Regions from separate parts of the Mus musculus genome. Here region 1 is reported to be linked to region 2. Evidence: microRNA targets listed by miRTarBase, many of them from high-throughput screens and not tested one by one. Region 2 holds a microRNA gene; the other region holds the end of a gene's coding sequence.
The links. The annotated mature microRNA mmu-miR-3084-3p reads UUCUGCCAGUCUCCUUCAGAC and lies in region 2 at 5,890-5,910, shown strand. An mRNA with a match to its seed (bases 2 to 7 or 8) in the 3' UTR can be bound and repressed. Matches are read on the target gene's strand: a 7mer-m8 pairs with bases 2 to 8, a 7mer-A1 pairs with bases 2 to 7 and ends in A, and an 8mer does both.

Region 1 (14,819 bases), not on the chromosome of region 2:
ATACTAGCTACCTTCACTGTAACAGAAGGGAAGAAAAAAATTCCTGTTGCTGGCTGCAGAGTTCAAAAGGGACAATTAGAAAGACATAAGAAGTTTAAATTAATCCGAAACGGCCAAGTTATTTGGAAGGGTAAGCAATATCAAAATCTATTTCTAAATTGTACAGCCCCTCTCTCTGTGTAACCATCCAAGACCTATGCTCTCCCTGCTCCACCCCTAGTTTAAGTCTATTTTTGCTCCCAACATTTAAGCTCTTTGTTGTTTTGTCCCCATAACGGAGGACTGAACCCAAGACCCCACACAATGCACACTAGTTAAGACTTGCCTGCCATCTTTGGACTTTTTTTCTGGGTACAACCTCAAAAATAAAGACTTAGACTATCTTTAAAATGGAAGATTTCAGATGAAATCAATCTCCCAGAATTCACTGGAAGGGTAGAAATGGAGCACAGCAGGTAAAGACATTTGCCTCATAAGCCCTACAGCTTGTGTTTAATATCCCATGAAGGTAGTAACCAAATTGTCCTGACCTCTACAACTACCATGGAACATGGATCTTACACAATATATACAACTTTAGTAGGTAACTTGCTATTTGTTGAATATACTCAGCATGACTTTTTTCTTTTAAGGATCATTAACCTCTCTGAAACACCATAAAGATGACATTTCAGTTATAAAAACTGGTATGGACTGTGGTCTTAGTTTAGATGAAGAAAAAGTCGAATTCAAACCGGGAGATCAAGTCATTTGTTATGAAGAAAATAAAGTTCCAACTAAGACTTCCTGGGATCCAGGATTTTAAAAGCACATTAAAAATGGTAAATGGGAAGCCGGGTGTGGTGGTGCACGCCTTTAATCCCAGCACTTGGGTGGCAGAGGCAGGCGGATTTCTGAGTTCGAGGCCAGCCTGGTCTACAAAGTGAGTTCCAGGACAGCCAGAGCTATACAGAGAAACCCTGTCTCGGAAAAACCAAAAAAATAAAAAAAAAAAAAAAAGGTAAATGGGCTGGAGAGATGGCTCACTGACTGCTCTTCTGGAGGTCCTGAGTTCAAATCCCAGCCACCACATGGTGGCTCACAACCATCCGTAATGAGATCTGACACTCTTCTGGAGTGTCTGAAGACAGCTACAGTGTACTTATATATAATAAATAATTCTTTTAAAAAAATGGTAAATATTTTCCCTTCATTTAAATACAGGGTCCTGAAATTAACTATGTACCACCATGCCTAGCTTGTATCTCTCATATAGGGGGAAAATTACCAATCAACACTGAAAACATTCAACAGCTTATGCACATACCAATACAGTATTATTCCCATATATTCCAAGCAGCTTTGACTTGGCACCTTCAACTTATTTGTGAGACATACTGTCCTGTAGCTTCTACTTCCAAGTCTACAGGATATTCCACAACCCCTTAAAAAGAATTGACCTTAGTGCCTGCCATCATGCCATGCCATGATGCCAAGTTTTATATTGGCTTTGACAGCTGCAGCTCATACAACATCACACAGCCAAAGAAACATTCTTTAAATGTACAATAAAGCACAATACTAAGTACGAGTTCCTTCTTTTTATTAACGCATACACAACTACTTGTCTTCTGGTTTGTTGAAGCAGTAAGTCAGACAACACTTGCCACAGTAATGCCTGTCAAAGTGGCTTCCCATGAAAACTCCAGCACCACATTCATCAGAAGGACACTCTCGACGAAGTCGGCTAATTTTGCCATTTTCATCCACCTGCAAAACAAGAATTTACTGTAAGATGATTTCACAAAACATATTCTGAAACCTGATTTAAGTGACTCAAGCTATTGATCTCACAGTACCAATTTTTAGTGGTTTAAGTCAGTTCTCCAAATTAAAAATCCTGTTTCCAATTCTATAAACTCACTTAAATATCAAAGGGGAGTTCACTTTCAACTCCAAAAGTACTTCCAAAAGTTAGTTGCTCAGATCTTATTCCAAGTGGAACCCATGTTTTGCTAACACCACACTTACCTTATAGTATTTCAGCACAGCCAACTTAACCTTCTTCCTCTTATGCTTGTTCTTCTTGGGAGTGGTGTAAGACTTCTTCTTCCTTTTCTTAGCACCACCCCGAAGTCTCAACACCAGATGAAGGGTGGACTCCTGTTAGTGGAAGATGAAACAGCAGCACTGTAGCATCAACAAGTCTAACTCCAGCCTGTCAAAAAGTTGGGTGGTGTTGGGCCTGTCACTCCAGCACTAGGAATTTTAAGGAGGCTCAGGAATCCAGTTCAAGTTGGCCCTGAGCTACAGGAGACTGCTCTCTACAAAAAGGGTCAACCAACCATCGCATATTTTAAAATCATGGAACAGCTACAGTGCTCAGCAAGTGTTAGTGGATTCAATATCATCCCTTTTTCTGCATGTTTTCCCTCAAACAAACCTTTTGAATGTTGTAGTCAGACAAAGTCCGGCCATCTTCCAGCTGCTTACCAGCAAAGATCAGCCTCTGCTGATCAGGAGGAATTCCTATTAGAGGAAAAAATACTGGGCTTAATAGAACAAGGTACATTCCCCATTGTTGTGAATCAAATGATTGCTAACAGTGGTCACAGACTTAGATGCAACTTTTTCCAAGAGTAAAAGCCCTGGAACTTTCTCTGTAACCAGGCTGCCTCTACCTCCTTAGTGTTGAGATTAAAGTGTGGACTGGGCCATTGCCCAGCCTGAGCATTTTATCGTCTTTGTGACTCAGTAAACAGTTCTAGATTAACTTTTAAAAGATTTGTCCTGCAGAGTTTCCAGTTAATCAGATAGCCTGACACTAATGTCAGGAATATTTTACTTTCAAAAGCATCTAAATTTATTAATCTGTTTTCTACCTTAAGAACAAACGTGTCTAGGTCACACAAGCCAGTCATTTTTCTAGTGACAAACTTTACTTGCCTTCCTTATCCTGGATCTTGGCCTTTACATTTTCTATAGTGTCCGAGGGTTCAACCTGCCAAGTTTTGATATATGTAGTTAATATACGGTTACATAGTAAGTCATTAACTGCTAGCTTTATACAAAACGAGCAAGGAGGAGGTGAGCTAAAGGTAATCAATTAAGATGACACCGCGTGCAAACTACCCAGAGTGCTACAATCCAAATTAGTCCCCATACCAGGGCGAGCGACGGCGGGGGAAGCACAGGAACGCGTCTGCCCGGAGAAAAGCGTCTCCCATCACCTACCCTACATTTCGCCACTCGGGATAAAGCAGGCTAAACCGTACCACACCGAAAACCAAACGTTGTTTTTGCTAAGCACCATAATCTCAGCTCAAAGCCAAGTTTCACAACTCAAAACTCAGAAACCCGCCCTCAAACACTAAGGGCCTCAGTCAGGCCTTGGCTTCCTCAACGGCAAGGTGGCCCGTACCTCGAGCGTGATGGTTTTCCCCGTAAGGGTCTTCACAAAGATCTGCATCGTGGCGGCGGCTCCACCTGCATTCGAAAAGAGACGGATTAGATCCGACGACACCCGTGAGAGCGACGCGTAGCGCCACTAGCCAGAGCGCGGCCACAGAGCATACACTCACCCACGATGGCGGATCGGAAAGGAAGATCCGAGCGTGGCCGACGGGGTCTCCTGGCCGAAGGACCCGCCCCTTAGGCGGCCACACACGTGCCTGCGCGCTGCAGCGGAATCGCGGCTGTCTAACGCAGTGCCAGATTTGCTCGTTCGCTCGGTTTCTTTACGCTCTTTTCTCGGTTTACCTCAGAATGGCCTCGAAATGATGTGCTCAACTAAAAAAAATGCCTCAAAAGGCTTTCTTATACAGCCGATGCGATTAAGAGAGGCTTTCCTTTAAAGGGGGCTTGTGAAACATAAGAGAGAGGTAAAACAAGTCTATCTGGGAATTGTAGTTTTACACTGCTTTCTTCTTGTTAGAACTACTTGTCCCAGGATGCATTTCCACACTTCCCGGATACCTGATTACACTGTCTAAGCTGTGGAGTGAGGGTTAGGAGAGAGTCAGGTGAGGACTCAGGGGATGAGGCACTATGATTTGCGCGTGGGTGGGGACTCTCTGGAAATGCCCCGGAGGGAAGGCTTAAGGGCTAGAAAGGCATTTGGGGGCTGAAGGTGTCTGTCACACCGTAGTGAGCTAGCCACATCTAAGGTATAGTCGAAGTCTTTCTAAGTGCAGGTTTCTGCCCCTCCCGGTAGTCCCTTCCGCTACCCTTCATCCGATCGGAAGAAGCTTTTGAGCGTCACGCGCCTCCCTAGTATGAAACGGTTAAATGTATTGGAATTTTCATCTTTTCACGTTTTAAAAAACATACGATAAGAAAATCTGCAGAATGTTTAGTTTTCGACTATAAGTTTAAATGTGGAGCGTGTCCATCCTGGAGAAAATAGGAGCATGTGCCCTCGGGGAAACTTGAAGCTGTTAAAAGCTGGTGCCTTCTCTCAGTCCCTTCTCCACCTCACAAACCCAGTGCCCTTTCTAATGCACCCTCTCAATGTCTTTTCACCCTATCCGTAAGCGTAGGCGTGCTCCGTTTTCTTACAACGAGGATCCGTAACTCCCTAATAATCTCTGTTTGCTCTTTCCTCATTTTAATATACTAGCTCTGCTGCCTCCAAATTACACATTTTGAAAAGTAAAAATGTAGGGCTAGGAGATGACACAGTAGCTAATATTCGATATGCAGAACCCTGGGTTGGAACTCAAGCACCCACTTTTTAAAAAGGTTGGTGTGCTTGGTGGAGTCTGTGACATGGTAGGCCAGCAGAGACAGGAGACTCCCTGGACCTCATTGGCCAGCAGGTTCAATGAGAGATGGGGGCCGACGACCCTACACCCACACATGACATACATATTTCTTAAAATAAGATGGGGCTTCCAGATGGCTCCATCAGTAAAGAAAATTTACATCTGCTCTAGATCTGATCAACCTTGAGATTCAATTGGTGGAGAAAACCAACTCTAGCAAGTTGCCCTCAGACTTTCACAGCGCTCCCTACCCCCGAACTAACGAAGTGCAATAAAAATTTAAAAATAAAAGGTAGACTGATTAAGAAGACCCACACACACACTCAATATAACGTGATCCTCCTGTCTCCACACATGTACCCACACGAATGTGAACATAAACAGAAAAGCAAAAAGTGATGGTGTTATTCCACATCATTCAAATATTTTACTTTGGGGTTAAAGGTTATCTGAGCATGTGTGAGGCCCTAGAATTGATATCCAACACTACAGAGAATAAAATGTGTTGCTTCAAGTAGGAACAAGGGCATAACATAAAAAGATAGCTTTGTCAGAATAAAAGCCCCTAAAAGGATATTAATAGGACACCAAAGGAGGAACTTGGGTTTCTGCCACTACTACTCCGATGTGTGCCCCAGTGACTGTGCCCTTCCCCTGTCTTTGACTATTTGCAATTACATCATCTGTGTCTTACCAAATTTTAAGCTCCAAGGAGCCAGGACCTTATTTTACTTATTGCTGAATCTCTAGCAGTAAAATATTAAATAGACATCCAATAGTGATTGAACTAATGAGTAAAACAAATTGATTTTATATTTGAGAACACTTTAGGGCAGTGATATGGCTCCAAGAGCTAATGCACTTGCTGCCAAGACTGCTGATCCAGTTGCTGGAACCTCCATGGAGGAGGAAGAGGAACGGGCTTCCATAAATTGTCCTCTGACCTCTATGTGTGTACCGTGACAAGCATGTGCCCACACACAGACACTAAGTGATTGTTTTTGTAAAATTGGCACTTTAAGCATACATTGCTTATGGCTTTGCTCAGACTACTTTATGTCCTCTTGTAAATTATGTCCTCTTGACTTTTTGTTATCCAACTCATCAAAATTATTGTGGTGTCTCCCTTATTTTTTTTTTATTTTTAGTTTATTTATTTATTTGAGACAGGACCGTACTATGTAGTCTTGGCTAGCCAGGATCTCACTATGTAGACCAACTTGGCCTTGAACCCACAGACGATCAGCTGTTTCCCTCTCAAGTGATGGGATTAAAGACATGCACCACTATGGAGACTGGTGTCCTGATTCATGTCTGTGGTATTTGAAGCTCAATACATTAGTTTAGATAACTGGTTATATAGCTATATTGCCAATATATCATAAAGTTAACTGAAACACTTATTCAACACATCATTATTTATAGTAGTAAAAGTTCAATAACTAATTGGGATGATTAAATAATTAATGGAATCTCATGCCATGAAAAACTATGCAATACTATCATTAGAGCTCTTTAGAATAAATAAATAAACATTGTTTTTTGACACAGAATCTAACTGTGTAGCCCTAGCTGGTCTGGATTTTACTATGTAGACCAAATTGGCCTTGAACTCATAAAGATCCAACTGTTTCTGCCTCCCAAGTGCTAAGATTAAAGATGTGTCCCAAAAAAAATTTAAAAAAAAGGTGTGTCCCACCACAGCAGTAGCTTAAAATTTTTCTTTTTTGATAGCTTCATATATTTAGTGAGTTTTAGTCTTTTTCACTATCACCCTGTCTCATCCTAACTCCTCCTACTGAAACCCTTCTTCCCAACAAGGCCCTTTCTGCCTGTGTATGTGTGTGTGTGAGTGTGTATGTCTCTGTGTGTGTGCATGGGCTTTGCCTGTGCTTATGTCTGGTGTATCACTTGCATGCCTGGTGCCAGTGGAAGCCAGAAGAAACCATCAGTTTGCTGGAACTGAAGTTACAGATGGTTGTAAGTCACTATGTAGGTGCTGGAATCAAATCCAGATTCAATAAAAAATTAACCAGTGCTTTTAACTGGGACCATCTCTCCAGCCCTAGAAGTCAAGTTTTGTTGTTATTGGAATTGATCTGTTTATTTAAGCATGTGGTGTGTTTTTGTCATATGGGAAGTGAAGGCAGGAAGGTGAGTTATTCAAGGTCATTCTCAGCTACTTAGGAAGTTAGGGTTGCCACAAAGCCTGTCTTTAAACAACAATTTAAAACAATTCAAAACTCAACTAACTATGGTCATTGTTTGATAGATCAATGTCACAGGCACTGAGGTAGAGAAGTATTTGACCTTGTTTGTATCAGCAAGAAGCATACACAGTCATTCCTCACATGAAAAAAGAAACCTTTTGGGAGAGCAAAGTCTCAGCTACTTTCCATTTCACACACCTTAAAATAATTAAAATGTGATATAAAATTTTAAACAGAGGGCTGGAGTATTTCTCAGTGGTACATAGCTTACTTACCATGTTCTAGAGACTGATTTTATCCCCAGTGTTCTGAAATACATGGTGGGTTTGTTTTTAAGTGTTGAATTGAAACCTAAGAAGCTATCATTTAAGTGATACACATGAGAGGAGTCAGCTTGGTTTCCAAAGGAAAGGGGGTTTTCTATGCTTGATCAGCATTCTGGCAGGGTTTCTTGTGTGGAGGTCAGAGGACAGCTTTGTGGAGTTCGGTTTTTCTTTTCCCACCTTTGTTTTGGTCTCTAACTCAGGTCTTCAGGCTTTTGCCCGCAAGTACATTATCTGTTGTGCCCTAAAGGAGGAGTTCTTTGGTTTTTTGTTTTGTTTGTTTGTTTGTTTGTTTGGTTTGGTTTGTTTTTCAAGATGGGGGTTTTTCTGGCTGTCCTGGAACTCACTCTGTAGACCAGGCTAGCCTCGAACTCAGAAATCCTCCTGCCTCTGCCTCCCAGGTGCTGAGATTAAAGGCATGTGCCACCACTGCCCAACAGGGAGGAGTTCTTTTTTTTTTTTCCAATTTGCCAAGCTGTGACTGTTTATTAACTGACCAGATTACAAAAATACCATGGCTGACACCTTAGTTCATCCGTCTAATAAGCCTGTTTATCTGGTCTTCCCTGTTGCCAGCATCTCCGTCTTCTACAAAGTGAGTTATCTTTTTCTTCATTCCACCTCGTGGGGAAGATAATTTGAAGGGCCACAGGAAGTTATTTGCTTTCTTGAAGCATTTCCCAATTGTATAGATCGCATGAATTAGATCCTCCATGCAGATGATGCCAAACTTACCAGGAGATAGCGCAATCAAGGAATTATCTTTTTTTTTTTTTTTTTTTTTTTTCCGAGACAGGGTTTCTCTGTATAGCCCTGGCTGTCTGGGCTGTCCTGGAACTCACTTTGTAGACCAGGCTGGCCTTGAACTCAAAAATCTGCCTGCCTCTGCCTCCCAAGTGCTGGAATCAAAGGCGTGCACCACCACTGCCCGGCTAGGAATTATCTTTCAAGGCAATCCGCTTCTTGTTGATTTTTGCCGTAGCCTCGCTTGTAGATGAGTTCGTTTATTGACTTCAGGTTAGGGTTGCCTCATGCAATATACGATTCCACAATCCCCAGCATGTTAATTGAAGCCTTTTTGAGCTTAACAAAGGTGCCATTGAAGAGCTGTCAAAGACAAAGAAGCTGCAATACCTTGCGGACCTTTGAGCTTACTCCATTGATACCTCGGATTCTGATGACAAAGGCCAGTTTTGGTTCTCTGGGCACATAGAAGTTCCCAGATTCCTTGCCATCCTGGCCATCCGAATCTCAGTCCAGTACATCTATCTGCCTGTACTCCTTGTGATAGTGCTGTGCCTTCTCGTAGATGAGCTTCCTCCTTGCCTTTCGAAGTGTCTTCAGGGCAAACTTCTTCCTCAGGCGCTTCACCTTCAACTCTGTGAAATTCCTTCGCTTTTTCTTACGGGTTTCTGGCACAGTGGCAACCTTCTTTTTCTTCTCTGGAACAGCCTCCGTGGTTCCAGCCAGAAAAGGAGAGAGAGAGAGAGAGAGAGAGAGAGAGAGAGAGAGAGAGAGAGAGAGAGAGAGAGAGAGAGGGAGGGAGAGGGAGAGCAGGGAGGAGTTCTTTTTTTTTAAGATTTATTTATTATTATATCTAAGTACACTGTAGCTGTCTTCAGATGCACCAGAAGAGGGCATCAGATCTCATTACGGATGGTTGTTAGCCACCATGTGGTTGCTGGGATTTGAACTCAGGACCTTCGGAAGAGCAGTAGGTGCTCTTAACCACTGAGCCATCTCTCCAGCCCCAGGGAGGAGTTCTTAATTGACATTTCATTTGTATTCTGTAGTCTAGCATGAATGGACATTTTAAGTCATTGACTGGAATATTTATCTCAATAACAGATCTCTTAATTTTCCTTTTGACACATACGTATTTTTAAATTGACTTTTGACTTAAAAGGTTTACACCTACACATTAACTGACTATCATGTTTTCTTTCAGGCTCACTAAAGCTTTGGCTTTATGGCAAAAGAAGGTCAAGGTTTAATTTTTCTCCGGTGAACAAGCTTACAGATTAAGATTTATGTCCGTCCAAGAAGTAAACACACATGCAGTTCTCCCTCCTATCGTTAGTAGAAATGACAAGGAGTTTTTGGAAAGCATACAAAGATACATAACTACAGAAACCAAAAGAGTGGGTTGCAAAGAGGAAGGACCTGCTGATGAATATTACACCATATACCGAAACGTTTTCGACAAGGTACCATGATGCTCTTGAGTAGGGCATGTTTCAAGAGGCTCTTTGTTACCTAGCTTAACTACCACCTCAGTAATGCTACTTGCCTGCCTGGCCACTGCTTTCTGAATGCTAGTTTGGGGAAATTCACCCATTTTTGTTAAACCAGGATGAAGAGGGAAAGCTCAAGTGCAGAATTTACATTTCCTGATGACTAGTTAGGCTAGTTAGAGTCAATTATTTTAGTTTAGCAAGTAGTATTTTTTCCCCCAATAACTGGTTTGTACCCTCTGGTAATCATTTCTAACGTTTCAAGTGAAGGTGCTAATTTGCTAGAATTTGCATTATGAACAAGAACTAGTATTTTATGTTCTGGGTTTGTTTGTGGTATCAGTAAAATCTTGGTTTAGATATGATATGGCATGGTAAATTGAGACCTCTTGAGCCAAGTGCTATGCCACATGCCAGTCATCCCAGCTGGTAGGGAGGCTGAAGATGGGGAATCCTACACAGCCAGGAGTTGGCAGCCACCATGGACAACATTATGACATAAAATCAGTGAATGAATCAATGAATGGAATTTCATCTAAACAGTTTGAGCCCTTTTAGAGTGCTAGATATGGTGGTATTCCTTTGCAGCTTCCACTTTAATGCTTTTCTGTATATTCTAAATGGTATCCATCGGTGTTCTGCTGAGACCTGGTTCTTGTAGCACACTGGCATGATCATTGTTCATGGAGTTACTGTAGTCGTATTGACTACCCATTCATGTACCTGAGTTGGGTTATTAGAGCACACAACAGGAACACGTGAGCTAAAAGATGAACATGTATCAGATACTTAGTGTGGAAAGCTTTTCATTATGAAAGGGTCCTCTTTGAGGTAGACGGGGTGTGGCTATGGCAAAAAAATTAAAAAGAGCACTGTATTCCTCAGCTGCCTTTTCCTGGTACTTGCTGCAGATTAATGACCTCTCTAGATCACTTGTGATAAAAATGGATGTCTTCCTGGATAACTTTCTTTCGATACTATTTAGCTAAACAAACAAACAAACAAAACCACTTGTAGGGGATAACACACCCAAGAAAAGTAGCAGAGAAAAACAAGCATAATTTCAGATTTCAGAGAAAATTTTGGATCGATTACTTTTATTCCCTATACATCATCAATATTTAAAAAACAAAGTTTTTGTTTTGTTTCATAACCTATTTAAATTTTTTGATAATTTTTGTGTAGACCTAGTATTATATCAGTGATGGATATACAAGATTAAGAAAAAACAGCCCTAATAAAGGGGCATGTGCTGTGGAGCCACCTCCACCACTCCCTGCTCCTCCCCTGCTTCATGGAAAGTAGCCTTTCTGAGCGCATTTAGGTTTTTTTGTTAACCTTTCTTTCTTTTTTCTTCTCCACCCCCCCCCCAAGACAGGGTTTCTCTGTGTAGCCCTGGCTGTCCTGGAACTTACTTTGTAGACCAGGCTAGCCTCGAACTCAGAAATCCGCCTGCCTCTGCCTCCCGAGTGCTAAAGGCGTGCGCCACCACCGCCAGGCTTTGTTAACTTTTCTACTGTTCTTTTTCTCTGTTATACTTCCTGAAAGTTGCTTTGCTTACATATTATTGGAAACTATGACTATGTAGCCATGTAAACTGTTTTCACAGTTGTTTGACATGTTGAGAATAGAGATACAATTAGGAGCTCTGATCTGATTTTCCTAGTGGAGGTGAATGAGTTCAGATTACAGTATCTCCGTGGGGGATAGAGAGATTGCTCAGTGGTTAACTAGTGCGTAAAGTGCTCTTCCAGAAGACCTGAGTTAGATTCTTAGTACCCACATCAGGTAGGTCATAACTACGAGTAACTCCAGCTCTAGGAGATCTGAAACCTCTGATTTCTGCATGTACCTACACTCACATGCACACACCTGCACACAGACACACATAGAAATAATTAAAAATAGTATAAAAATAATGTAAAAATTAAGTCAAGAGACTAGATTTCAAAGGAGTAAGAGATATATAATTAAAAGACCTCCAGTTGAGAAATGTAAACCTAGTATTATATCAGTTCATGTCCCATGTGTGAGTTCATACCAAGCATAAGAAAGCCCTTTTCATATCTAGGATCACAGTGTCTACATAGTGACCCATGGAGAGCATATGCTTGGTGGTTATTGTTTTTAGTGCCTACTCATGTTGAGTTTGTGTAAGATGTTTATATGTCTAATTAATAATTATGTTTCACCTAAAAATAGCCTCCTTAAAAGGCTTTTCATCACCATATTTTCTGTTAAAAAAGTTCAGTGCCACAGACAGAAAAATCATATTTCAGGTAATAGACTATGTCAGTGCATACAAGTCCATTCTTACTGCAATCAAAAAAGAATATGACGCCTTTATTGAGACAATAAAGAAAGGCCGAAGAACTGCTTTTTATCTTCATGGAAAACTTAAAGTTTTGGCAAAAGAGCCTACAGCATTGGTGTATCACCAGAGAAGAGCAATCCAACTCGAAGCAAAGTGAGTGTGTCAATAACTAACTAGAAAAGTGTCATGCTACTGGGTGGTAATCAGCGAGTCTTTTATAAAAAAAAAAAAAAAAATCACTGTTTTCTTTATGTTACTATTTTGAGATAGGGTGTCACATTTTAGTCAGAGCTAGCTGAATTCACCAGGCTGGTCTTGCTCAAGGCCTTCAGCCTTCAAGTTACAGGTTACAAGATTATTCCATGCCTGCCTTTAATTAAAATGTTATTTTAAGCTATATTTTATATTCCCTTCTACCAACTATTCTATATTTCAAGTTAAACTTAATTTTGCTTGAGAATTTGTATGATGCCTCTTGATATTATGAAGTTACATCATGGTGTCATAAAAGGAAGAAAGTTATTTCATGCATGGAAGATTTGTCAATACAAGTTCATGCTTCCCACTTGAATGACAGCACTTAATCTCCTGATTCCAGTAGTAAGAAACCCACCAAGGAGAACAAAATCCTCCTTGAAAACGATTTTTAAAAAATTAGATTTCACTATGTAGCTCAGACTTAGAACAATCCTCCTGTCTCAGCCTGCCAAATGCTCGTTTCTTGGCTACAGTGTGGTCTAATAATACTACTTTGAATTTCTGACCTCCAGAATGGTGAGAAGATAAATGTTACTTTAAGTCACCAAATGTGTAATAATTGTTGCAATAGCCCCCAGCAAAATGACAGTTTCTTGTTTGTTTGTTTGTTTAAAGCTTCTTTAAGCCTAGTGTGGTGGCTCATACCTGTAATCCAGCACTTGGGAGGCTGAAGGAGTAAGATAACAAATTCAAAGCCAAATTTAGCTATATAAGGAGACCCTTCCAAAAGAAAAAAGAAAAAGAAAAGAAAAAAGGAAAACTAAAAATACATTTTCAGTTGTAACTGAATAGATGGTGTTTTTGGCTAGATAACATTTATTGATTTGAAATGGGGTTTGCATTATGCTTTTTTTTTTTTTTGGTTTTGTGTTTTTTTGGGTTTTTTTTTTTGTTTTTATTTTGTTTTTGTTTTTTTGTTTGTTTGTTTGTTTTGTTTTTTGAGACAGAGTTTCTCTGTATAGCCCTGGCTGTTCTGGAACTCACTTTGTAGACCAGGCTGGTCTCGAACTCAGAAATCTGCCTGCCTCTGCCTTCCAAGTGCTGGGATTAAAGGCGTGCGCCACCACCACCCAGCTTGTATTATGCTTTTATTGGCGATCTGAGAGGGAATTTTTCCTTATTTGTGGTGTGTCACCTTCTGAGTATGGATTTTTAAACTTCTAGTTCATAATGGCTCAAATTATAATTAGTCAAATAAAACAAAAATCTAGTCTTTTTTTTTAAATATTGTGAATCAAGAATTAGATTGGTTGTGACAAGCATATGAAAACATTTCTGTTTTGTTTTTAAGAATGAGGATTATTGAAAATAATTCCACAGCAATTCAATTGCAAATAGATCAGATGAAGCAGCTGAGAATGGAGTATGACAAGAAAGAAGTAAAGCTCTGTGCTCCCTCCAGACAGCTTTGGAAACCTATCCCAGGTGCAGTATCGTGTGTACAGTTCTATACCAGAGACATTCCCCAGTGTGTCCCGTTGGCTGTCTCTTACACAGCTAGTATAAGATGCTCATATATGAACAGTCAGTTGTACAAGCAACTTTAGGCAGGGTACTGTCCAGGACAGAGCAAACTTCAAGCAATCCTGAAGAATGTGAAGACTTACAATCTGCCCAGGTCACATGGTGTGCAGTCAGAAGCTCTCACATCAATGTTGGCATCATTTGAGAACTATTAGAAGTGAAGATCTGTGGAGTTGGTAAGATTAGCAATTAAAGTGATTACTGTGCAAACTCAAGGTTCAAACCCCTCTCCCATGCAAAAGCCAGTGCCTGCTCTGTAATCCAGTTCTGGGGTGGACAGAGACTGGTAGAAACAAGTGGACACACACACACATTTGTGGATCTTATCTCAGACTTATAATGTCAGAAACTTGGTGGTTGAGTCCAGTGGGTGACATCTGAAGTTCTGATTATTCTGATTGAGAGCCACTGGTGCACTAACAACTCTAGTGTATTAAGTTTGCTGAAAGACATTTGTGGTGATGTCTGAGTTTACTGGTTTCATATCCTAGCTTCATGTAGAACTTGGAGAGATTACTTTGATGAACAGATTATGACTCAAGACTAAGGATTGTAACTCCAGTACTTAAAGCAGTTTTTTGCACAGTATTTATCCAGAGACAGAACCAGTACGTGAAAACTTTAGAAAGACATATTTCACCTATATTGAAGAAGCTGTGTTTTTATCAACCCAGGTTTTCAAATTCTCTGGCATTTGGTAATAGTAGGGTTACTTTCAAATGCAAAATCGTGACTAACAAACTCCAAATAATAAATGTGAATAAACACAGAATACATGGCACATTGGTTTACTACCAACAAGAGTCATGGGGAAAGAATGCTTAAAATCTAAAAGGGTTAATCCTGAGGATAGGGAAATTCTGGAGAGGGTAGATTTGGATGTGTGTCTTGTTTTTTAATGCTTTATTTTTTTTTTATTATTTTTTGTGTCTGTGGGTGTTTTGTTTTGAATGTATGTCTTTGTACCACATGCATGCCCAGTGCCCATAGAGGTTAGAAGGTATCATATATCCTAGAAATGAAGTTAAGACAGTTGTGGGCACTAGAAATTGAACCCAGACTTCTGTTAGTAGAACCAGCACTCTTAACCAATGAACCGTCTCTCATGCCCTCTGTAGGTATTTTTTATTTTTATTTTTCGGGTTTTTTTGTTTGTTTGTTTTGTTTTGTTTTGTTGTTTTGTTTTTCGAGACAGGGTTTCTCTGTAGCCCAGG
Region 2 (15,735 bases):
CTGATAACTTTAAAAAATGACTGATATGTTTATTTCTTTATAGGTATCATAACTGTTGTAGATTCAAAATATGGATTAAAAGTAAGTTGAGCAAATATAACTTGCTAATTGTCAAGGAGTAGGAATAAGGGGTTGGTTGTATTGTTTTCTGTTTCTTAAGAAAAATCTTTTTCAAGATGCACTTTGTATGTGCCATTATTATTATTATTATTATTATTATTATTGTGTGCTTTTAAACTTAGTATTTATTTTAGTCTGGGTGTTATTTTAGGTTGGGTGTTGTGATTAAAAATTGGAGTTACTATGGTATTTTATAAGGTTATATAGGATAAAATTTGGATACGTGTTATTCTCACTAGAATCCATTCCCATTATTGGATTTTATAGGAAAAAAAAAACCCAGCCTAATAAACTATATGAGATCTTAGTTTTTGTTATAAACTGTTAGGAAACACAAACTACATTAGTTTTTCTTAAAGTACTGATTTATTTAATTTTGAAGTATTCTGTGAATACTTTAGCTAACTGCTGATGTCTTTAAGGTTTGTCTCAATTTATAAAATGAACTAAGGAAAAAAAAAAAAAAAAAACAAATAAAATGAACTAAGATCTTAACAGCTTATTGCTGCTTAAAATAAACAGCATTTCCCAGGTTTTCAAGTGAACTGAGAAGTTTTTTAAGGAAACAAATGTTACAAAAGGCTTTGGAGAGTGAGCCTGCCTCTGTGCTGGCATCAGCTCTCCAGCCTGTCTGGGCATATGGACTGGGAACAAACTCGCAATTTCATACAGGCTGGGTATGATTGCATACACCTTTGTCTCAGAAATTGGGAGGTAGAGACAGGCAGATGTCAGTGAGTTAGAGGACAGCTTGATCCACGTAGTGAATTCTAGGCCTGCCAGTGCTGTATAGTAAGAACCTGTCTCAGAAAACGAGCAAAATTTCTTGGGAGTATAAACTTGGTGTTTAAACGTTAGTTTAATATTTTACCCCTTGATGTATCTAAATTTAATTTTTATGTTGGTCTTTCTCCCAAATCTTCAATAAAATTATGTTTTAGGAAAATTTACCAGGCCTGTCCAAATGGCTACAAGTCTATGTTACTGGCTCTTCCTACCCTCACTCTTAGTACCCTAATTTGACACATTTGAATCCTGTTTTAGAGTTTAGAATTTAAATTTATGAGTAGACTAGGGATAAAAGGAAGATTGCAAATATTATACTTTTGGCCAGAAAAATTCTAAAGGCTGTATGTGTGTGTGTGTGTGTGTGTGTTCGAAGGGTCTACTCTTTAGCTCATGAAGTCTTAAATTTGGTTTGGAATCCAGTCTGTCCTGAAACTCATATTCTTCCTTCTTAGATCTGTGTGCTGGGATTATAGCTGAGGGTCACCACACTTTGCTTAATGAGGTTTTGTTTTTTGTTTTTTTGTTTTTTTTGTGTTTTAAAGATAAGTTATAAGTCACCGTAATGACTGTTTTCAAAACTTTTTTTTTAAATGTAAAAAGAAAGCACCAGAAAATTTCAAATTCTTTGTTTTGAATATATTTTTAGGCATGTTTGAATTAATTTCCTCTCTAAGTTGACTCACAAATTTGGGGTACATACGATAGCAGCCAGAACATTTTATTTGCTTTTATTTTTATACATTTGACATGCTATATCCAAAGTCAAACTCTAGCAATTTATGCTTATAGAAATAATTTTATACCTATAGTTGGATATAGAGAGGAATTAAATAGAATCTTTTACTGGCATGATAAAGATCCCCCAAACAAAGCAATGTTCTGAATAATACAAATGTAGTATATGTTTAACCCCTTGCCACCTTGATAAAACCTCTTAAATTATTAAATCAATATACCTACACAAAACTGACATACTGTCAGGATAATGGAAACTTTAGATTTTCCAAGTCATATGTCAGATAAATAACTTTGCCTTTATATAAAGAATTTGCCAACTTGTCCAATTCCTCTGGTTGCAAAGCTTGACCTCAGTAGCTGCTTGTGATTCAAAGAATTCTGAGGCAGTACAAGTAATGACAGTTGGATAATGGGCAGCAATTTAAGGGTGTCATGCTTCACAGAGCCAGCCCATCACAAGTAAAGCTGAGAAATGGTACCCTGTGGCCAGCCAGCCAAATTGAAACTGAAGTGGTAATTGATATCATAGCCTATCACTCTAATGGGATTGTCACCCATTGATCTGAAATATTCATTTTTTAATCATGGCCAAAGAATTGGACAACTTAAAATGACAGCTCTCTATTCTCAAGGCTTGACATCTAGGCATTGACATTGTTCTTTTTAGTTCTACAAATGTGACAGCATTTAATGCAATAGAATCAATGAATGAAGTTTACACATAAAAGGTCAAGTAAGAGGTTTCTTTTTGAGCCTTCTGTTGTATTGCACAAGAGGTTGAAATAATTCAGTCAGAAAACAGTTTGGGTTGGAAAAGGCCAGGAAAATAAGTAGATTGACATTATGCAATAATTTTTTTTTCAAAGCTGAAACCACATTAGATCACTAGCCAGTCTTTGTAAAGAACAAAAACAAAACAAAACAAAACAAAACAAAACAAAACAAATACATGCTGCTATTTCTCTCCTTTTTCTTTGTCTGATGTCTGACATCTTTGACATTGGATTTGTTTCTACTGTGGTCAGCACAGTTCCTTCTCAGATAATGAAATTTTAGACCATTTTGATTTATTTTCTTTGGTCTTGCTTTTTTTCTTGATTCTGCAGGAAAGCACTCTGGGAGCTCTTCTTGAAATTGTGACTATAGTAATAATTTATTTTGAATCATTTCTTTGTGTCCCCCAGCTTTGTTGAGCCATAACTCACAAATAAAAATCGTATAGATTTAAGGCATACAATTTACTACCCTGATCTGTCTGTGTATATGTTGTGCAAACATTGTGGGACAATCAAGTGTTAACCTTGACCACCCACTGACATAGTTACTAGTTTTTGCTAGTTTAGAGGGTGTGATAACTGCAGATTCCTAGTATTCCCTCCCATAATCCTAATTATAGTTGCCCTGATGAATTAGCTTTCCAGAATAAGTTTCCAGAATTTATTCCTCCTGAGAAACTAGGACTTGTGTCCGTTGACCGTCACCTCACGTCTTTTGTTGTTACTGCTTTTGCTGTAGGTCACACTGTGAGTTTGAACGTTTAATTTTTGAATATGTTGGTTTGTTGGGTTCATTAGTGCCAAAATTATTATTGCCATTTTTTAAACCTAAACAAAAGCTACAGTCTAGCAGAGATGAGGACTTCTTTGGAGATTGGTATCTTTTTATAAAACTTTTAAATTGTATGCCTGTATATGTAGATTAGAACATCAGAATTTACATTTTTGTTCTTATTTTATAAATTGAAGTCCTGCTTCCAAATAACCTCTGAGTGGCAAGCAGAGTTTTGGTCTTTTTGCTAAGCCTGGCTTGGGAAGTAGGAATTTCGTAAGGAACCTGTAGTGCTGATACTCAGAAAATAAGTGTTAGTATACATTTATTACTTTTTATGTTTAGAAAGCTTTCATATGTGAATAGGCAAGGCATTTATCTCTTCTATGATTGTCACATGTATTTGTAATCAAGTTGTATACATTGGCAGACTTTTATTTTTGGAGGTTTTAAGTTATTTTAAGTATTTAATATTTCCTAAAGGTAATCAAGTCTTGGTCTGTGCCATTTAGCTCTAGATGAAATTTTATCTTGAATAAATGTCTCAAACCTTTGTTAAGTTGCTTTGTGAATCTGCCAAGTTTTTTTAAATTATATTTAAGAACAATTTTAAAGTCATTTTAATACCTTTTTTACATGTTACAAGGAACAGTCAGATACATCAATTGATATGCATGCAGATGAAGCTTCCAGTAGATCATCTTGAAAAATATTTTAGTTTTAAAGAATGTTGAAAGGGATCATGCAGAGGCAGATGGCATTTTTTTAGTAGATAGAATGCTCAGTGGAAAGAGATGTGTTGCCACATGTTGGATAGCTTTTTTTCAATAACAAAATTCCTGTGTTTATGTCAACAAATGGGACTGTTAACTACAAGTCATTCATGGACTGCTCCAGGGCCTGCTGATAGCTTTAGTCTCTAAATGCAGAGAATATCATGCTGAATGGATTTGTTAATAGTGAGAAACCATGAATAATTATGAAAGCATGAATGTTAAATTTGGTCTTTTTGGCATGGAGTAAGTTATTGATGATACATTACACTCTGTGTTCTGTGAGCTTTGTAACTGGGAAGTGAGTATGTGGTTGAATTTATAAAATTGTATTAAGGGGGCTGGTGAGATGGCTCAGTAGGTAAGAGCACCCAACTGCTCTTCCAAAGGTCCAGAGTTCAAATCCCAGCAACCACATGGTGGCTCATAACCATCCATAATGAGATCTGACGCCCTCTCTGGAGTGTCTGAAAACAGCTACAGTGTACTTACATATAATAAATAAATAAATCTTTAAAAAAAATTGTATTAAAAAAATGAAATGACTATGTCATGGTCATGACTTTGGTTTTGTCACACCTAAATAGTATTTGTTAAACTTTTAGAAGGAAAAAAAGTTGCCTCTATAATCTTAACCAAGTCTATTGAATAATCATCAGTGTGTCTTAAGTTCGAAGCTATGATAGTTACCTCCCCATGAATTGTACAACTAGAGTGATAAATATGATGGAACTTGTAGGTAATCCTACATATTCTCTTATGCAACAATTAAGTAATATTCTCTAGAAAACTGGTTGTACATGGCATAAAAAGCTTTTAAAAAGATCTTAAATAGTGTTCACTTTACTTCTATCAAGCGTGCTTTTAGTAAAAAATAGTCTGGTGGTAATATATAAAAGTACATATATATATGTATGTGTGTATGTGTGTGTATATATATATATATATATATATATATATATATATATATATATAACATATATATATATATATATAGTCATAATGCCTAAACGAGTTAAAATGTTGCAAAAATTAAATAAGTATATATAAAGGTCCATTAAAATGTGAAGTGTTAATATAATCTAGTTGTCTATCGCCCTTAGTAGCCAGATTTTTCTTGTGATCGGGAGTCTCTGTTGAGAGTCATGTGGTTGAAAACATGAATTTGCAAAAGACAACCTCTGGTAACCCTTTTATGCTAGCATAGATGACTTCAGGATATAACTACTATTGAGAGAGGGGTTGCTTTCAGAGGTGAAAAGGTGAATGGCCTTCTAAATCAATTCTGTGTAGCAACTAACTAAACCAAAAGTCTTCTGTAAATTTGTATTTAGGAATAGAACTTAAAGTCTCATTAAGACAAGATAGGTAGCTTTAAAATAAAATCCTTTGTGTTGATATTAGATTTTTGTATTGTATTATAGTAATTCTTTTAAATTTTGTTTTGTTCAGCATTTAACTGAAGAAAAACCTGATGGCCTTGTCAATGAAGCTACTAGGTATTCATATTTAAAGCTTATATTAATTACCAACCTGTTAGAAAATAGAAGTAACATAAAAACAAACGGAAAAAAAAGAAAGATAGTTAAGACAAATTTGTTTCCTTTTCCTTCCACACATTATTACTGTCTACCCCTCATGGACCCATGACTAGCATTTTATTTAAGCCATTTATATTGTGGGATAAAATGAATGGTAGACATAAGACTTACCTGATCTTTATGAATTTAGAAGAGTCTAACATTTAGAAGCGTTTTGTTCTCATGCCCCTTTGGAATTGAAGATAGTTAATTTGCTTCCTTAAAAACTGCCTCTTGCACATTTCATTGACCTGCTTTCTTTTGAAAATGTGAGCAGTGTTATTTCTTATGTGCTATACAAATAGTTGAAGGTTAATTAGCAGAGTAACTGAATATAGTAATTCTGCCAGTCTCCTTCAGACAAAAAGAATTAGAAATATTTGTATTGGGGTAAGTAGCAGGACTTTATCTATGAATGTGACCATTAGGTTCTTTCATTTATGAAATTGGGAATTCAGAACATAGATATGTATAATGTAGTCATACCTGGGCTTAAAACCCAAGTTCCAGTAGTCTTTTGCTGGGCTGAATTGTATGAACTTCAGTTTTTCCCTTTTTGAACAATGGGCATAATTTCTGCTTCCTATAGCTATCATGAAATTTTACAGAAAACGTGTGATTAAGTAGTAGCTGTTGTTATTAAACAAAACAAAACAAAAAAAACAACAAAAAAAAACTGCCTCACTTCCCACTGTTACTCAGTACAGAGGAACAATTACTGAAATACTTGTGACTTGGTACTGAAAACAGTGGTAAGTACTTTTAAGTTCTCTTTTGTTTTGTTCGTAGACTTACAAGTATTTAAAGTACTTTCCTTACCCTAGGTATATCTTCACTAATGGGCTGAAGGGTTACAAACCAAATATGCTGCTGGGCTTAGGAGTGAGGCCTCCTGAGATAGGAAAGAAAGAGTGAGGACAAATGATTTCTTGTTATCTTGAGGTTTATTGAATTCAATTTATTATTGAATTCTTCTGTTGTCCTTCCTAAATTTTTTGTTATTGTACAAATGTGATTTAAATTAAAATGAATTTAAGTATGATTGTAACTTTTTTCACCAAAATAGTTATTGTAGAAAATATACATAAAGCAAATAGAAAATATCAGAAAATGTAAAGTTCATAAAGAGTAAATTTAAAGATTTGGAGATGTGTGCATTCTGTTTTTAGCCACATAAGATTACTTACACAGAAGTAGGGTTGTGATATAAATTCTGTAGTTTTTTGTTTTTTCAATTTTGCTCATGTTTTTTAATTTTATTTCTAATCCTGTAAAAGAACAGATTAGAAAATAGTAGTCCAGTGGTTAGAATTTCCTGAATTTCCTGAAAGTAGTTTTTTAAAGCAAACTACTTAATGTTAAGTGAATTTTATATTTCTTTGAAAATTATGATAAATTTTATAACTTTTTTATCAACTAGACTGTCCTTATTCCCATCATAGTAGATACTAAATTTTATGCATTTCTTTAACATATATATACACACAGACAGACAGACAGACACACAGAGACACAGACACACACACTTGTGAACTGAAAATTATTCTCTGATCTAAAACTCTGGAGGCTTATCTTTATAGGATCAATAAATAATTCTTTTTGGATGAGCTTACAAAGTAATGTATGGAATTCTTCTGTAGAGTGAGTAGGTTGGGAGTAAACTGAACCCAAGCTAGTTATTAATTGAAATGTTGGCTTAAATATGTTTCTATGGTTTTGTGAGTTCTTAACATTTTTTTTCTGACACTTGTCCTTTGCTCTTTTAGGCAAGTTGCATTGGCAGACATGATTCTCATCAATAAAACAGACTTGGTTTCAGAAGAGGAGCTAAACAACTTAAGAACAACTATCAGGTACAGTGCACTTGACTATTGTAGTTTGAAAGCCAGAAGAAAGAATATTTGATGTTTTTACCATTAAGAGATGATAAATTTGGAGAAGCTAGGTCTGTTTACTGAAGTGCAATAGTTTGTACGTACTGAAATGTCACATGACCCCCATTATTATATATAGCTCTTACATGCCAATTAAAAATAAATCTATTTTCAGTTTTAGTGAACAGTGAAAATTATAAGTATGTTAAATGCCTTCAAATATAAATTTTAACATGTAAAATATTTTAAACCATGGGTATTGCTCTATAGGAATATAAGATAAGGTCTAAGGTTGACTTGCTTCAAGGATCATAAAGGAATCATATATATAGTTCTTGGCTAATTGACTGATAAATAAATAGAAATGTATAAAATAATTCACCAGCTCTTGCAAAACATAATTCAGATTTTTTTGGCTGATATTCTGGGTCCACTGACTCTCCTTATGAGTTTCCATTTCCTGTCTGTCCTTTGACTCTTTCCTAAGGGCAAGCCTCCTTACCTCTCTAAGACAGTTAATTTACTTCTTCATCTATGTGTCTTACCAGCTCCCAACTACTATTTTCTCACTTACCAGTTTCTGAGTCTATCCCTCCTTTATAACATATAATATTATGTATTTTCATCTGCAGATCCTATTCTCCCTTTTCTTCCCATTCCTTAATGAAATCTTGCTCATATTGTGCCAGTTCCCTGTAAACCCTTCTTGATTTTAATGGTTTCCTTAGTTATCAACTGTCCTTTGTCTTTGCTTTATGTCTTCATTGCCTATGTATAAGGGTAATCAAAATAGACTAATATGAATGATACTATGTTATTAATAAATATCAAACAGTCATCTTGCTGGCTGTTTTGGAGATTCTCATTCCTTTTGAAGCCAAAGGTGAACTTTTCAAATGAGAGTAAAATCCAAAGATTGTGTTTTGAGTTATTTTGTAATACTTAAACTAGGCAATGCCGTATATTTCAGTAGCTTTTCTTATTGGTCACTTTTAGTCACAGTAGAGCTTTTTATAATGAATTAGTATTACCACATTTAATGTCATTTCTATTGGCCTCACATGTTGACTGTAGTACCACTAATTTATATAGTACATGGTATAAAACTGAATCAAAAATGCATAACTATTAAGTCATTTCTAATGATTATGATTGCAAGAGAAAGAAATTCATACTTTCCCTCTATATTTTTTCTTGTTTTAATAATAGTATCCTTAGATTTTGCTACAAAAAGTACTTTCTCATATGGAAGGCAGATAATACTGCATAATGTTTAGGAATATGGGAGTTGAAGTCTGCTTTGGTTGTAATTCTTGATCTGTTTCTTCCTGTTCTGAGGAGGTTTATTTAGGCTTCTTGAATATCATCTGCAAAACAAGAATAAAACCTATCTTACACGTTTACTTTAAGTACTCATGAGACTTGTGAAATTGTTGGTGAGCTTTGCACTCCCTGACAGTGGGTGCTTCCTGAGCTCTTACAATGGAGATTTGTTTCTCTGAATTGAAAATTAGTACTCTTGTTAGTAGTAGTTAGTAGTTAGTTAGCAGTTAGTTAGTCGTCCAAAAATGAGACTTACCTCAGAATTATTTTATACAGAAAGAACCCATTAGAACATATTGAACCATCAGCATATATTTTGGACATGTGTCTGTAAAGAAAAGAGAATTAATAAGACAAAAACATATAGGTGTTAAAGATGTTTAAAGGAATTAAAGTAATTTTTTTGTGGCATACAAAGGGAAACTTTTTTTTTTTTTGGTGTTTTGTGTTCTCCATTTCTACAATGAATATGTATAGAATTTGGCTGTCTTGTAAAAGTTTTGACTATACAAGAACATTAAGAATCCCTGCTTCTTATGGAACCCCCCCTTTTTTTTGGCAATGCTGGGGTGAAACAGTGGTTTTGTGCATGCTAATTAAGCCTGTACCACTGAGCCATAGCCTTAGCCTCTTCCTAAAGTGAAGGATCTCCTTCCTTCCTTCCTTCCTTCCTTCCTTCCTTCCTTCCTTCCTTCCTTTCTTCTTTTTTTTTTTTTTTTGTAGTAACAAGTTTTCTTGAATGCACATAGATTGTGCCAGATTTGTGGTTTGAAGAGAAAGAATTCTAAGCCATTAACAAAAAAAAAGCAAAACAAAAACAAACAAACAAAAAACCAGAACAAAGCAAAAGGTGGGGTGGGGGAGAGAAAGAAAAGATGTTTACTTTTTGTTTTAGGAATAATTTTTGTATGCTTTTAAAAAAATCACCACTTTTTAAATCTCTTTCTTTTGCTTTTTATTTCAGATCAATAAATGGACTGGGAAAAGTTTTAGAAACTCAGAGATCAAGGTACTTTTTAAAGTTGCTATTAGAAATGGAGGTGTATGTCAGTTGTGAGATTGTTGCCTACTATGCACAAGGCCCTGAATTTGACTGTAGTACTGCATAAACTATAGAATGCACATGCCTGTAATCTCAGCACTTGGATATAGAGGCAGAGGCAGAGGCAGAAGTTCAAGTTCATCCTTGTTTATTTAGAAAGTTCAAGGACAGCCTGGCCTACATGCCATTGTGGGGAGGGAGGAAGAAAAGGAAAAAAATCTATTACTAATACCAACAACAAATAAATTAGCCTTTAGTTAAGAATAGACATTAGAAATTAGAAAGTACAGGCGTTGGTGATGCACACCTTTAATCCCAGCACCTGGGAGGCAGAGGCAGGTGGATCTCTGAGTTAAAGCCCAGCCTAGTCTACAGAGCGAGTTTCAGGGTAGCCAGAAACCCTGTCTCAGAAAATAAGTAACTTAACTGTGCTATAACAAGGATATAGACACATTAAAGTAATACCTAAATATTGTCTGAATGCTCTTTACAAATTAGTTTGCCATACTTAGTTCCTTTGTTAGCAACTATACAACTATGATACATAAATCTGGAAAAGCATGTTAATGTAAGGCCTTTAAATAGGTTTTTAATACTTTAAAATCTTATTTTTGCAAAAAAAAAACTGTAATAAGAATACATGAAATTATTATGTTTAAATTATTAATGCATCCCTTTATATATTTTACAGCTTTTATAGCTTTCTCTTACCTGTAGTTCTGTTCATAAAGATGTGCATAATCTTCTAAAATATTTGTACTCTCTTGAAAAAACAACAACAAACCCTCTGTGAACTGTTCTTTTGTAGATTGAACTGGTTTTGTTGTTGTTATTGTTGAATGGTGATGATTTCAGAAAACTTCAGTGTAGGGATATTTTGTTAAGTTCATGTTGGGGACAAGAATGGCTTAGTAGCCAATAGACTCAGACTCACAGCTGGCAGCTTAGTACCACCCAGCCTCTAGCTGAAAGAGTTTTCCATTGTCAAATGCAGAGAGGTCTTAGCTGAGTGGGCTGTCTGCAATGGCAAAGATTAGAGGTGCTGACAGACTGCCAGAAGTGTGAAGCGGTGACAGCAGCAGCTGCTCTGAGTGTGGATGCAGCTGGGAATGAATTTGGTATGTGTTTGCAGGAGCCACAGATGCCTTTAGTGTGAGCCTGCTACAGGCACTATATAAGTAGATGTACTCCCAGATTTTCCAGTTCCATTGTAGAAACCTGATAAGTCTAACACATACTCCAAGCCATTGCTCAGCCTTCATTCCTATCACAGTCTACTGTTTTCTCCTTGATTTTCTTTCTTTTATAAATGACAGACAACTCCATAGACTTAAATCAGCTTTTGAGAATCATATCTATCAGTAACTGTGGTTCTGTTGTGACAGCATGTATTTAGTTTGTATTTTCTTTGTTTCCACTTTGAAATTATCCATGTTATAACTAAAGGTTCCTCTTGATTAGCTTATATATTGATTTTGTTTATTTGACCATTTCCAACATTTGCTCTCTTACAGAAATACTAATCATACTTGTTGCTTAAGGATTAAGGGTGCAAATGAAAAAAATCTTTATCTTCTCTTTCTTTCTTTTTTTTTAAACATTGTTTTCTTTTTAAGATTTATTTATTTATTATATGTAAGTACACTGCAGCTGTCTTCAGACACACCAGAACAGGGAGTCAGATCTCCTTATGGATGGTTGTGAGCCACCATGTGATTGCTGGGACTTCCATGTGGTTGCTGGGACTTGAACTCAGGACCTTCAGAAGAGCAGTCGGGTGCTCTTATCTGCTGAGCCATCTCACCAGTCCTTATCTTCTCTTTCTTAAGTATCTGCTGTTGGCAGTGAATCTGAGTCTCTGAACTCATGTCCTTGCTGGGAACTTGGGAGTTGAATTAGAGACCTTTTCCATGAAGATCAGATATCTGTAGTAGTCTTATTATTGGATCATGAATCTTATGTAATTTCCCAAATTCCTAGAGACATACAAACAACAACTTGGGCCTCTCAGTTTAGAAACAAGATTTATTTCTTAGCAGAATAATTGGAATCATTATTTTTAACATTTTAATCCCATTAGTATTTTAAAGTTGGCAAAGTGAACGTGCTATAAGCAAATATAAGCAAACTTTGTAAAATAGTAAGAATCATGTGAGGTGTTATCTTACTGGCAAGGTTTAATTGGATTGGCAAGCAAATACAATTTCTATGGAACTTTGTAGACATTGGAAGTAGGAGGGAAAGTTAGAAGGTGTGGGGAATTGCAGGCTTGTCTCCAGTTGGGCTGAGGTCTGAACCCGAAGTCATAATTCACCTACATGACACGGTAGGCGTTCCCTCATGCTCCTGCAACTCTGGCTCCTGCCTAAGTTACCGCGCCCCCCACAGCCCCCACAAGAGAAGCATGGCTAGAAGTCATGTAGGCAATGGCCCAAGCTTCTGACCTTCAGGCTAAACTCCTCCCCAGTTACCTAGCAACAGTAAAGACCATAAAAAGGGCTGTTCAGCCCCACCTTGCCCTCTGACTTGTCTCTCTCACTCCTTTGTTCTCCCTCCTCTCACTTCTCCTCTTTCCTTTGTCTTCTCTCCTCTCCTTTCTCCCTCTTACTCTTTCTCTCTGGCCTTCTCTCTCTCTCTCTCTCTCCCCCTCTCTCTTTCCCCCTGCATTTCTATAATAAAGCTCTAAAACCATAGAATGTCTCTGCTCATCAAGGCCCACTGCGCTTGGAGGATGGGACAGGCTTTCTCCTAATGAGCCACCCATTAGAAGGCCTTTCTGTGCTCCAGTCAAGATCTGCTGCACTCACTCTTGCAGGTGTTGGGAACCTCTCTTCCCTCATCCTTCTCTCCTATAACCCTGGTGGCTTTAGCAAAGTAGCTCCAGGGTTCCCAGGTAGGGCTGCCCCTTGGCCACCCCCTGAAGAGTGGGTCAGAGGCTTGAATGTCCACCCAGGACTGAGTGGAAAGTGTATGGCAGCTCTCCCATGCCTGACAGACCAGAGCATAGGTAAAACTCTGGTGGGGCATGGGTTTCCCCTTCCCCAGGGCATCCGTCAAGAAGGCATGCATTCTTATTTAAGGACTTCTTAAGATTTTAAAGATTCAGGCCGGGCTTGGTGGTGCACGCCTTTAATCCCAGCACTTGGGAGGCAGAGGCCAGCCTGGTCTACAGAGTGAGTTCCAGGACAGCCAGGACTATACAGAGAAACTCTGTCTCAAAAAACAAACAAACAAACAAACAAAGGTTTTTAAAGATTCAAGAAAATTGAACAGAGGAAAATAAAAATACAGTTGGTCAATAATAATTTAACAACCATTGCAGTTTTCCACTAGTTCTAGGCATTTCAGGGTGGGATCAGGAATTAAGCAACAGATAAGACATAAGTACTTTTAAGACACTGGAGTGATCAATCATTTGGGGGAAAACTGAGAAGTGAACAAGCAAAAAGCAACACCTTAGATAGTATTAATATATCACAATAGAAAGAAAAATTGCTCAGCATTCTGTAAGAATAAAAAGCAGAGGCATGACCATTTGATCTTTCCTGATGAAGTCTGGAAAACTTAACTAAAAAAATGATCGTTGATTAGTCTTGAACAGTGAAGGGAAAAATTTCCCAGATGGCCTGGAGTGCAGGTGCTTTCCCAGGATAAGTGTGCAAGTGAAGAAAATCTTCACTTAATATTTCAGAGATAAGCAGGGCGTGGTGGAGCTCGCCTTTAATCCCAGCACTTGGGAGGCAGAGGCAGGCGGATTTCTGAGTTCGAGGCCAGCCTGGTCTACACAGTGAGTTCCAGGACAGCCAGGGCTACACAGAGAAACCCTGCCTCAAAAAAACAAAACAAAACAAAACAAAAAATACAGAGATAATATTTTAGAATGACTAGGACACATGGCTGCATTTGGCTGAGAGAAAAGGTGTGTGAGGACCATGAATGCCACAATATACAGGATTTTCTCTGTAGGCAACAAGGAGTTACTGAAAGATTTAAAAACAGTGAGAGAATTAAAGGGTGAACTCAACTGCGGGCTAGTCTCTGAAGTTCCGGGCGTACAAGAAGGTTGGCAAGACTTGCATAGAGTGGGATGAGCATGGCTTTAGGAAGGACAATGAATTGATTTTATAATCACTTGAGTTTTAGATCCACTTGGAACAACATTTGGAAATTTAGTGCTAGAGTTTAGCACAATGCTTTTGGAAATAACAGCAAGTGTGTAGACTAGGTGAACCCTGTGGAGCAATTCATTGAATTTTAAAAGGTGGTTAGGCAGTTTCCTTAAAGTAGCATCTGCAGGCTATATAAGACAGTAGGAGACGAGTGAACTCTTTTTTCCCTTGATTTATTTTCATATTTAATTTAAAATGGTAATGGTCTTTCCATCTTATGGTTTGAATGCCTGGGAAAATGTCTGGTATTTTTATTTCTGAATTAAACAATTCCATAAAAAGTTTTCTAGACATGTATTAAATGAGAAGAGACATTCATTTCCAAAGCAGTGCTAGTTTGGGGGAAAGTTCATAAAAACTTGTATGTGGAAGGAAGCTCATGCCTTGTCACTGAGAATTTGATGGTTGTTGTTGGTACTTTGATTTTTAATAGTACTTAGTGGAGTTGCTACAGTGTGGTTATCTCTAAATGGTAGCATTCTCAAGGACACTGTCACAGTGAGGCAGTGCTGTAGTTAGAAGGGTGTTCACAGAATCGGTACCTACAGACTTCAGTGAAGATGACAAATTCATGGTTTAAGCTTGTTCTTGTTTAACAGTTAAGGTGGGAAAGGAAGTATGCTTAACACTAGGATTTCCATCTCTTAGTGTAAATTGATACTCAGAAATTTCTTCACAGACCATTTGCTTCCTTGCTTTATTGTTTTCCTGGCTCAGCACCTCTAGTGTGTCCAGAATGTGAAGTGTTGATATAGTATATTAACACAGAATGTTGTGGTATTTGTTGTTTAATAAGATGGGAATTTGTCCATCTATGCCAAGATAAGCGTTTATAATTGTGTAGAGTGCTGTCCTGAGAGTGTGGCTGGCTGCTGCAAGTAAGCAAGGCGGGCCCAGCTGGACACTTGTGAGCTAAACTTAAATTTGTATGCTTAATCAAATGTCTTGAGTGTGACAGATGTCTGACAAGATATTTAATGTCTGGCAAGCTGCTTGAGTCTGGTATTGAAATATAATTGTACTTTTCATTGTAGCTTTGTTGTGTTCTTTGAAATATTTCCTTCATTTTAGTTTAATTATGAGCTCAAGGTTTTCTGCTCTTTTGTGGGCTTAGGTTAAAACTGAAAGTCAGTCATCTGTTTTTTTAAATTTACCTCTATGTACTTAAACCATGAGGTACTGTGTGATTATTAGTGACTTGAATTCCTGCATTCCTCACAAGGTTCAGTCCTCACTGATTTTTGAGGAAGCATTTGGTCTGACAGTGTTGTGAACTAGGAAGCTTCGCTCTACTTGTGCGCTCATTCTGAACGAGTAAAGTTAAATGTGATGTTCTAGAGGGAGTAATATTAATTCACACGCTGGCTGTCTGACTCCTTTTGGTTTTATTTATATATTAATTTATTTTTTGGCATTTGGGATTGACTCCAGAGCCTTACACATGCTTTGTCAAGGTGCTGTATGCCCAGCCTCAGAATTCTAGGGTTTTTTTTTTTCCCCTGAGACAAGGTCTCAGTATGTAGCTCGAGACCTGTCCTGAAACTCATTATGTGACCAGACTGGCCTAGATATCACAGAGATCCACCAGCCTCTGCCTTCCAAGTGCTAGGATTAAGGTTTGTGCCACCACACTCAGTTGTAGAGTTCTAGTATTTTTATATTACCTTTTATCATAGAGAAGGTATAAAAGAATTAAGAAAATTCCAAAGGTATTTGGAGTTTGTGTAAACTATTGTCCATTTGTTACTTCTTTTAGTTCATATTTGGGGTAATATGAAA

Region 1: the mRNA of Mtif2 is a reported target of mmu-miR-3084-3p. Seed matches in the 3' UTR shown: 7mer-m8 at 874-880.

What each region holds. Positions count from the first base shown.
Region 1 is chr11:29,544,281-29,559,099 of GRCm38, forward strand. Mtif2 (mitochondrial translational initiation factor 2) reads left to right here. Exons shown (of 14, transcript NM_133767.3): 13 at 1-130; 14 at 633-1,172. The coding sequence ends at 805. It overlaps Rps27a (ribosomal protein S27A), which reads right to left and starts at 3,760. Exons shown (of 6, transcript NM_024277.2): 1 at 3,561-3,760; 2 at 3,401-3,465; 3 at 2,926-2,980; 4 at 2,423-2,508; 5 at 2,011-2,142; 6 at 1,562-1,749. The coding sequence starts at 3,448. The coding sequence ends at 1,600. It overlaps Clhc1 (clathrin heavy chain linker domain containing 1), which reads left to right and starts at 3,670. Exons shown (of 12, transcript NM_028504.1): 1 at 3,670-3,860; 2 at 9,224-9,482; 3 at 11,756-11,976; 4 at 13,373-13,506. The coding sequence starts at 9,306. It also overlaps the pseudogene Gm12090.
Region 2 is chr19:24,932,415-24,948,149 of GRCm38, reverse strand. It overlaps Mir3084-1 (microRNA 3084-1), which reads left to right and starts at 5,847; the gene lies at 5,847-5,915. It overlaps Cbwd1 (COBW domain containing 1), which reads left to right. Exons shown (of 15, transcript NM_146097.3): 6 at 44-81; 7 at 5,421-5,467; 8 at 7,315-7,401; 9 at 9,710-9,754.